Ovis aries: one gene and its partner. The protein of the gene in region 2 purifies or fractionates together with the protein of the main gene of each other region. This does not show direct contact. Links are inferred from orthologs where the notes say so. Each region holds a gene or a part of one and is shown on either strand. Other genes may lie near its edges.

Region 1 (4,468 bases), on a different chromosome or scaffold from region 2:
AGCCTCCTCTGTTGTTGGTTCTGTCCCAAGGGTCCTTCTCTAGACCTAACCTGGCCCCGCTCTCTGCTGAGTTTGACTGCCATGGAGGTTATTATTTCAGAGTGATGTGGAGGGACTGGGAAGAGTCACGGCAGATGGTGGGAGCATTACTAGAGGGCCGGGCCCACCAGCACCTTGTGGACTTTGACTGCCACCTTGATGACATCCGAGAGGATTGGACCAACCAGCAGCTCAACGCCCAGATCACCCAGTGGGTTGGTCCCACAAATGGAAATACCTGAGCCAGGGCCAGAGGGGAGGCTCAGGATCCAATAAAGAGACTTGGGCTGTTGGGCAATGGTATGACTATGTTTATTGTGCCTGGGAGGCAAAGGTGAGGGAGAAACCAACAGGCAGAAGGTGGGGAAAGTCTGGAGTCCCCTGTAAAAGTCAGAAGGTCTCTGCTGGAGCCATCACAGAATGAGAAGAGGGTCTCAATAGATCATTCCCTTTGTTTCTCCCCTGGGCTTCTTGAGCTTCTCGAAGTTCTTCAGGATGATGTCATATAACACAGCCTATGGGGCCAGGGAGGAGAGAGTCAGCCACCAGCTCCCAGTGGCTCTGTACCCCATTTCTAGCCTTGTGGAGAGGTTGCACTTTGTAACCCTTCACCCCAGCCTGCAGGGTCAGGGAGTGGGTGGCTTGGGAAAGCTGCCTCAGCCCGCCCCCAACTCTCGCCTCCTCACATAAGCATTGCGGATCTCCATGACCATCAGCCGGATATCCCGGTACTCTGCCTCATCCAGCTCGTGCACCAGTTGCCGATAATCACCCTGCGGGAAACTTGGATCAGGCCTGACTTCAAGTGTCCCTCCTCCCTTGCACCCAGACTGAGACCTCACCTACCACATGGGGCTGCTTGGCTGCTTTAGTTACAGCATCACCGCGCTCAGAGAAATACCTGTGGGAAGTAGAAGGGTATGGAGCAGGAGGAGGAGGGAGCAGAGGCCTCAGTCTCTGCCAGAGGCAGAGCAATGGGCAATGACTCACTTGGAAATTTGAGTGTGGAAGCCTTCTAGCTTGGTGTGAAGGGCAGTCATCAGCTCAAACACCTTCTCCTGGGGAAAGAAAGCAGAAGGGAAAGTGGAAAGCAGCAAGGACTGGAGAGAGAAAGTTGGCAGAGGAGTGGGGCAGTGCTCTCACCTGGACAGCCACTCCAAAATTATTCCCATCCTCAATCCGAGGTATTTGTAGCTGTAGCCAGGTGGTGACCTGGGAGGAGGGAATGGCAAAGAAGCCCCATCAGTCTCAAACCCAATTCCCAGCTTCCTGTCCTTTGTTTCCTTGCTCACAGTGAATGGGAGTGTGTCAGGTCTGTCCTGAATGCCATGGCCTGGAATTCTGGCTTTACTTGCTGTGCCCTCTCCTGCTAAGACCTGGCAGGTGCCATGCCCAACTGGTAGGGAGAAAGGAAGACAAAGGGTTTGACCTGAAGTGTGTGGACGGAAGTGGGGGGCTCACCAGGTTGAGCTTCTCAATGACATCCTTGATCTCAGGCTTTACACGCTGCAGGAGGACCACAATCTTCTCATTGCAGCTCACTGGGCCACATGGAGGACCTAGGAGGTGGGCACTGGGTCAGTCACATGACTGGGACTGTGCCAGGTAAGGAAAAGGCATCCTTAGGGAGGAGCTCCTGGGAAGTGAGACACAAGTCCCTTCCACCATAGTGATACCTTTGTCTTCATCTTCCCCTTTCTTCTTTTCATCCTTGTCTTCCTTCTGCAGGGAAAGGGAGGCTCTTGGGAGTCAGGCCTGAGGCTGATTTTTCCCCGGGTTGGGTCCCTCCTCCCAGGAATTCCCATCTTGCCTCCTGCTGTTTCCTCCGCTCCTCCTTCTCTTTCTCCTTGACTGGATCAGGCACTGGGATGTCCAATGGGGCCTTCAGATTGCTCAGGTTGGCTTCATTGAGAGCTGGCTCCTGGTGCAGGGTGGGAGAAGGGCTGGAGGCAGGGGCGAGCTCTCACCTCCTCACTCTCACAGCCCCTGAAGCTCTCCCTTTGGCCTCTACTCCCTGCCCAGCCCCAGTACCTTTAAAAATGCATCCAACTCAGAAATCTTCCTGGGAAAATAGCTCCCGAGCAGGTTCTCTGTCTGTGTGTAGGGTAACGGTAAGGGAGGATGGGGGTCAGAATCAAATTCCCTTCCTAAGCAGTGAAGGAAGGGCTGCCGCTGCCTAGCAAAGGAGGGCTGAGCAGTGGGCTTGGGGAGGGGTGGGGTGATGACCGTGCAGGTCTTACCTTAGTACATAGGTCTTCACGGAACACATCCACCTGTGGGACACAAGCAGCCCTTCAGAATTTGGCTTTATGGCCAGTTTATTCGAGAACCCTTAGGGTTGCATGGGGTCTGACTTGGGTGCGGTGGGATTTGGGGAATAACATTCCTGGAAGTGAAGGGCGAACTGTTCAAGAGGGAACAGATCCCTCGGTGGGCAGTGGGAGGAGGGATGTAAGAGAGCTGCTGCGACTGGGGCAGGGTCGGAGTGCCCTGTGGAATGGACGCGGGGCCTCCCATGGTGGCAGGGCAGAGCCCGAACCCCGTCTGTGTGTGGGCTCGGGCGCCGGGCCAGCAGATTTCCCCTTCACGCCAGGGCTCCGCTTCACCTCACCCCGCTGAACCTCGGCCGCCTCGCCTCTCCTCCCGCAGGCAGACCTGGCGGGGCTCTCCGGGCTCAGGTGCTCTGGGCACGGGGCCCATGAGTGTTCGGATGACTGACCCCTACTCGAGGGGCTGAGGGGCGGGTCACGGACTCCTTCAGTGTCTCGGAGGCACCCCTCCCTGATGGGCCCTTCCTAGAACCCGCAGCGCTCACCTTGGCTTGGGCTTCGGGCAGGACCCTGAGCGTGGCCATGGCCGGGGTAGGGGCCTGGCGAAGCACGCGGAGCGAGGAGTGGGCACGGGGAAGGGAAAGTGAAAGCAGCGCTCGCTCCCCGCACGGCCTTCCTGGGTAGTGGGAGTGGAGGTACTAGAGGAGGCGGGGACAGACCAGAGAGAGGCGAGGAGCTGAGTGCCGGGAGGTAGCCCAGCCGGGGCTCCCCCTAGAGTCGGAGAGGCGCCTTTCCGCCACCCCGCATCCCCATCACTGTCGGTCTTTCGATTCCCCGCCCACCTGCCCCACCCTCCCATCGACGCCCCGCCTCCCCGGCCACGAGGCCGGGGCCCGCCTCAGGATTCCCCGCCCCTCCCGCCCCCTGCCCCAGACCTCGGGCTCTCTTCCCAGCGCCGCCTGGGACAGTGATTAGCCTTATCTGCCTCTCTTCTGGGTGGTGAAGCAAGACTTGGCTTCCCTTCCTTTGCCCTGCCAGCGTGGACCCCTAGCTCCACGGGCATCGTCTGGCCCACGCAGTGACGTTCAGACTCTGGCATCATCCCATCACAGGACCTGGTCAGCTCTCTTAAGACCCTTGTGGACTCCATTCCTCTGTAACCCACTCACCACGCAGCAGCAGGATTCCACCTTGCTCTTGCTTAAAACGTTCTCAACTTCCTGTTGACCTTAGAATCCAAAGGACTTTCCTGGTCCAAAAGGCCTATCTGGCACCTGTTCCCCTTCAACTTTGCTTTCCACTGTTTTCTCCCTCTTTTCAGTTATAAATACCTGGACTTTCCAGTTGTTTCTCAGACCTGCCAGCGTTGTTCATTCCTGCCTCAAGGCCTTTGCTCTTGCTAATCCCTTTGCCTGACACAACCTACCCTGCCTCAGGATGTCATTCTGTTCTCAGCTTAGATATCACTTCTTCAGAAAGAACTCTGCTTATAACTCCCTCCAAGTCTATTAGAAAGCAGCCTGTTTTAGTACCTTCACAGCACTATCTCTATGAAGTTAGTTTCTTTTTTGAGGATAGTGTGGTTTAGAGCAGGAGTTGGCAAACTTTTTCTGTCAAAGACCATATAGTAAATATTTTAGGCTTTGTAGTACCTGCAGCAACTACTCAACTCTGCCATTGTAGCAGGAAACCAGCTATACAGTTAAATAAATGAGTGTGGCTAGTTACCCTAAAATTTTATTTATGGACTGCTGCTGCTAAGTTGCTTCAGTGGTGTCCGACTCTGTACGACCCCATAGACGGCAGCCCACCAGGCTCCCCCATCCCTGGGATTCTCCAGGCAAGAACACGGGAGTGGGTTGCCATTTCCTTCTCCAATGCATGAAAGTGAGAAGTGAAAGTGAAGTCATTCAGTCGTGTCTGACTCTTAGCGACTCCATGGACTGCAGCCTACCAGGCTTCTCCATCCATGGGATTTTCCAGGCAAGAGCACTGGAGTGGGGCGCCATATGGACAGTGGCATTTCAGTTTCATGTAATTTTCACCTGTTATGAAATATTCTTTTTTTTCAACCATTAAAAAATGTAAAATCATTTCTTAGCTCTCAGGCCATATAAACAGTGGCCACAGGACTGTTGCTTGCTGATCTCTGTTTTAGA
Region 2 (4,432 bases):
CGAAATAGCACTGTTGTACCCCCGACTGCCAGCCCAAAGCCCATGCCCCCTGAATAAAGACTTTCCTTTGCTGTTAAAAGCCCTGACATGTGTGTTGTGGGTTGAAGGAAAGGCACTAGGGTCCTCACACCAGGATGCATTCATCTGCAGCCACAGGCCTGGAGCTTTGTGGAGGAGCTGTGCTAAAGCCTGGGACTGAACTGGGCACCTTGAGATGTGTAGCTTCCCACGAGAAGGGCATGGCAACCTGCTCCAGTATTTTTGCCTGGAGAATACCAGGGGCAGAGGAGCCTGGCGGGCTACAGTCCATAGGGTCACAAAAAGACACACGACTGAAGCGATTTAGCATGCACAAACTGCTGGTTGAGCTGTTTAAGCAGCCCGCCTGTGCCTGCCTCTGCTCTGGGCACTGGGGACTGGAGGCAGCTGCACACATAGCAGTGGAATGGGCATACATGGAGCCAAGGGTACAGGATGTGGAAGATCTGAAATGTTCCTCCTAGCTCCCAAAAGGGCAGGCGAGACCCCGCCTCTGGACAGAGGCTTTTGAGTGCTAGGTGCGTGACAGAGTTTAGAATCTAGGAATGTGACAGCCATTAAATAGGTCACTTCACTAGTGAAGATTTAATTTTTAGGTAATGGAGCTACGTGATCTGAGAGAAAAGTATAGAGAGCAACAAGGTGGTGAGTCTTGTGGGTCAGGAAAGGCTTCCCAGAGGAGGTTTTGTCAATGCAGAGATCAGATGGAATGAATGAGAAGGGTGACTATGAAGACTCATTTGAGCCTAAGAGCTGTGTGCAACTGATATAGGGTTTAACCAAGGAAAGAGTGTGACCAGATTTCCAACCTAGAAAAGAGTCCCCTCTCTGTAGCATGGAGTATAGTCTGGGGTGGAGGGTGAGGGGCAGGAATTGTGGGGAAACCAGTGCTGTGCCCAGCGGGGAAAGGATGCTAGCTGAGACAAGCAGTAATCCAGAGAAAGAACTGGCTAGATAAAGGGTCCTTTGGGAGGTGAAATAAGGCTTGGCCATGGGCAGAGCCCAGCATGCCTACAGGCCACCTGAGGGACAACCATGATGCCCCTTCTGAGAGAGGAAGGATGGCATCTGAAACATGGAAGACAGATCAGCATCGCCTTGGCTGAGAGGACTGAGCCTCACTCAGTGTTTGGGTTCTGGGAAGAAGGCAGAGGCAGCAAACAAGAGGCAGGAGTTGGGAGAAGGACAAAAGGTAGCCATGACTGATGCCGTTGAAGATTGATAATAATAAGAACAGAGACTTGGTCAATGTGATAGCCTTAGGGCACTGAGACTTGAGGTTAGAGATGGGGTCAGGGTAGGCAGAGCTCGGGGCTCAGGCTGGACAATGGCTAAAGAGGAGGGATTTGTCCCTCTGTTCAGTCAGAGGACCCAGGAGCAGCTTGGAGTGCCAGGCAAGGGACATCTCCCCTCTTCCTAAGCTGCGAAAGACCAGAGCTGAAGGTGAAAGTGAAAGAGAAGATGCAGAAAGGGACCAGCATGCTCTGAGGAAAGGTGAAAGCGAAAGGGGGAAACAATAGTGCAGCCCGGCAGAGGACAAGCCTTCCGCCTTCTTTCTTGCCTGCTGATCCCACTCCTCTGACCCCCTGCCTACCTGGAGATGCAGAAGACAGTGCTAGAGCCCCAAAGCGGCTTCTCCTTCGAGAACTGTGAGAGGTGAGGGCGGGAATGGTTGGTTTCCCAGCTGCCTATGCCCTTCAGCGAGGGCTTCCGGGAGTGAGAACCCCGGGATCTTTAAAATTTCTGGGGGCGAGAGTAGGGGAGGGTACGTGTGTTGAACGACTTCGGTTCCCAAGTTTACCCCAGGAGGTGAGGGAAACCGGGACAGAGGTAGGGGCTGTGATGAGGGTCCCATAAGAACTGAAACCTGGGCCTCTCCTCTCCGTTTCCAGAAACGCAGCCTTGCAACGCGCCCTACCGGGGCTCCGGGTCCCTCACGCACGCAAGACCGGGACCACCATTGCAGGCCTTGTGTTCCAAGTAAGCAGGGAGCTGGGATGGTGCGGCCTAGAGGGGCGGCGGGAAATGGGACGTGGGGACTAGGCCAACGGCTCCTCCCCCCTACCCCCAGGACGGGGTCATCTTGGGCGCGGATACGCGGGCCACTAACGATTCGGTCGTCGCGGACAAGATCTGCGAAAAGATCCACTTCATCGCCCCCAAAATCTAGTGAGCATTCCTCCGCCTAACTCTCCCCCTCCAAGAACCGCCCCCTCGTTCCCATCCCGGGTGCCAGCACGTCCTAGCAACGCCCACACGGACCCCTCCTTTCGCCCTCAGCTGCTGTGGGGCTGGAGTAGCCGCGGACGCCGAGATGACCACGCGGATGGCGGCGTCCAACATGGAGCTACACGCGCTGTCCACGGGCCGCGAGGCCCGCGTGGCCACCGTCACCCGCATGCTGCGCCAGACGCTCTTCCGGTGCTGAGGCGGGTCTAAGCTGACCCCGAGGCGGGGCAGCTGCGGGGAGGGCGGGGCTGAGAGGACGCAGGACCGGAGAAAGGACTGGGCTGCGAAGTCCGAGAGCCCGGAAGAGGCGGGCCTAAGAGCAGCTAAGCGGGCGACGGCGGGGAGCGCTGTCAGTTATGGGGAGCTAGACCGCGCGAAGGGGCGGGGTTCGGACGCAGGGGCTGTTTGTGGAGGGGCGGGACCTGGGCTCCGGTGCTTTCCACTGACCGTACCCACTCGGCTAAAAGGTACCAGGGCTATGTGGGAGCGTCGCTGATCGTGGGCGGCGTGGACTTCACAGGACCGCAGCTCTACAGCGTGCACCCCCATGGCTCCTACAGCCGGCTGCCCTTCACGGCCCTGGGTGAGCGCTTCTGCCCGCTCCCCAAGAACCTTGCTATGCTACCTTGACCTCAACGTTTATCCCACGACTGGGCGGCCGCAGTTGATCTCAGATGGCCCTCTTGCTTGCAGGATCCGGCCAGGATGCGGCCATAGCAGTGCTAGAGGACCGGTTCCAGCCGAACATGACGGTGAGTGACAACTGCCCCCCCTACCCCCACCACATTACGCGAGCTTTGATGGGAAGTGCACCCGTGAGCTGGGGAAACGCAGAGGAACCCTGGCCTAGTCGGGGAAGGCTTCTCGGAGGTGACTGAGTGGAGACTGAGGGGCCAGTGGAGTGAGGGTGAGGTGCTATTCTAACAGTGCCAAAGCTTGGACTGCCTCAGAAGTCAAAACTCAAAGTGCCATTTGAACTTGAGGAGAGAGGAACAGCAGGTGGGGTCTGGGGTCTGGATTTTGTTTGGGATGGATAGAAGCAGAAGGCATATGTATGTCACTTTATAAGCAGCTAAGGCCCAGAAAGAAAAGGCAGTGAGGGGGGAATTGGGGGTGGGTGAACAGGCCAGTGGAAGCACAGCCACAAGTGTGACTCAGAAGCTTGTGAAGATGGGGGCAGTGGGAACATGGGGTCACTGTACAGGGGGACACTGAAACCAGGATAGAGGAGCTTGGGGTGGAGATGGGGGTGTAGGGCGAGAGAGTGGGAAGTTTGGGTGTGAGCAAATGAGGCCTGGCTTCAAGATGAATTGTCTCTAGGCTACAGCCTAAGGGTGATCTAGAAGGGTCCATCAGGCCTCACTGACACACATCATTGCAGCTGGAGGCAGCGCAGGAGCTGCTGGTGGAAGCCATCACTGCAGGGATCCTGGGTGACCTGGGCTCTGGGGGCAATGTGGATGCATGTGTGATCACCGCGGCCGGCGCCAAGATGCTGCGAGCCCTGAGCTCTCCCACAAAGCCTATAGAGAGGTAGGAGCACTGGGGGTGGAGGAATCCCAGGGGAGGATGGATTTGGTGGTAGCGGGAAGACAGGGCTATAGAGGACGGGACACTTGATGGGCCCCTTTTGAGGGGTCATCCCTGCTTCTTCCCAGGTCCAGCCAGTACCGCTTTGCCCCTGGGACCACACCTGTCCTGTCCCAGACAGTGGTGCCGCTGACCCTGGAGGTGGTGGAGGAAACTGTGCAGGCCATGGATGTGGAGTGAAGTAGGCTGAGGCTTAGAGCTTGGAACAAGGAGGAATAAACCCAGAAAACACAAACACCTACTTCGGCAGATGACTGTCTTTCTTGGGTGGAGGGGAACAAGCAGCCAGCAGGGCTCTGTGGCTAAGGTGTCCTGCAAAGGCCATTCCTTCCCATGGCTGCAATCTGGCCTGAGGGGCACCATTTACTCACCACCTTAGTCATCTACCCCTCTAGAACCCCAGCCCTGGCAAGCCATTGCAGGCTCAAGGTGGAAAGCCCCCTCTGCATACCATGGAGGCTCCCCCTACCACTCCCATGCCCTCTGGTCCACTGGAGACCATTGTACAACCCAAAGGGCTCTATGTACTGCCCCCACGAAGAGCCTTTACTTGCCTCATCAGTGATCAAGGACA

Evidence for each region.
Region 1: the proteins of PSMB10 (region 2) and PSME1 purify together in Homo sapiens (affinity purification with western blotting; 3 studies listed by BioGRID and IntAct, with this or other methods). This does not show direct contact. The link is inferred for Ovis aries from reciprocal best matches to the Homo sapiens genes PSMB10 and PSME1.

The regions. Positions count from the first base shown.
Region 1 is NC_056060.1:20,828,673-20,833,140, forward strand, and holds PSME1 (proteasome activator complex subunit 1), read right to left. Parts: upstream 3,010-4,468; 5' UTR 2,894-3,009; coding exon 2,855-2,893; intron 2,313-2,854; coding exon 2,280-2,312; intron 2,134-2,279; coding exon 2,071-2,133; intron 1,961-2,070; coding exon 1,850-1,960; intron 1,762-1,849; coding exon 1,716-1,761; intron 1,599-1,715; coding exon 1,501-1,598; intron 1,252-1,500; coding exon 1,183-1,251; intron 1,098-1,182; coding exon 1,030-1,097; intron 941-1,029; coding exon 886-940; intron 813-885; coding exon 726-812; intron 555-725; coding exon 474-554; 3' UTR 336-473; downstream 1-335. Other genes in the region: EMC9 (ER membrane protein complex subunit 9), read left to right, coding at 101-281. UniProt on the Homo sapiens protein: Implicated in immunoproteasome assembly and required for efficient antigen processing. The PA28 activator complex enhances the generation of class I binding peptides by altering the cleavage pattern of the proteasome.
Region 2 is NC_056067.1:34,980,085-34,984,516, reverse strand, and holds PSMB10 (proteasome subunit beta type-10), read left to right. Parts: upstream 1-1,570; 5' UTR 1,571-1,639; coding exon 1,640-1,695; intron 1,696-1,931; coding exon 1,932-2,019; intron 2,020-2,110; coding exon 2,111-2,208; intron 2,209-2,319; coding exon 2,320-2,460; intron 2,461-2,735; coding exon 2,736-2,851; intron 2,852-2,961; coding exon 2,962-3,020; intron 3,021-3,649; coding exon 3,650-3,801; intron 3,802-3,926; coding exon 3,927-4,038; 3' UTR 4,039-4,099; downstream 4,100-4,432. Other genes in the region: LCAT (phosphatidylcholine-sterol acyltransferase precursor), read left to right, coding at 1-57. UniProt on the Homo sapiens protein: The proteasome is a multicatalytic proteinase complex which is characterized by its ability to cleave peptides with Arg, Phe, Tyr, Leu, and Glu adjacent to the leaving group at neutral or slightly basic pH.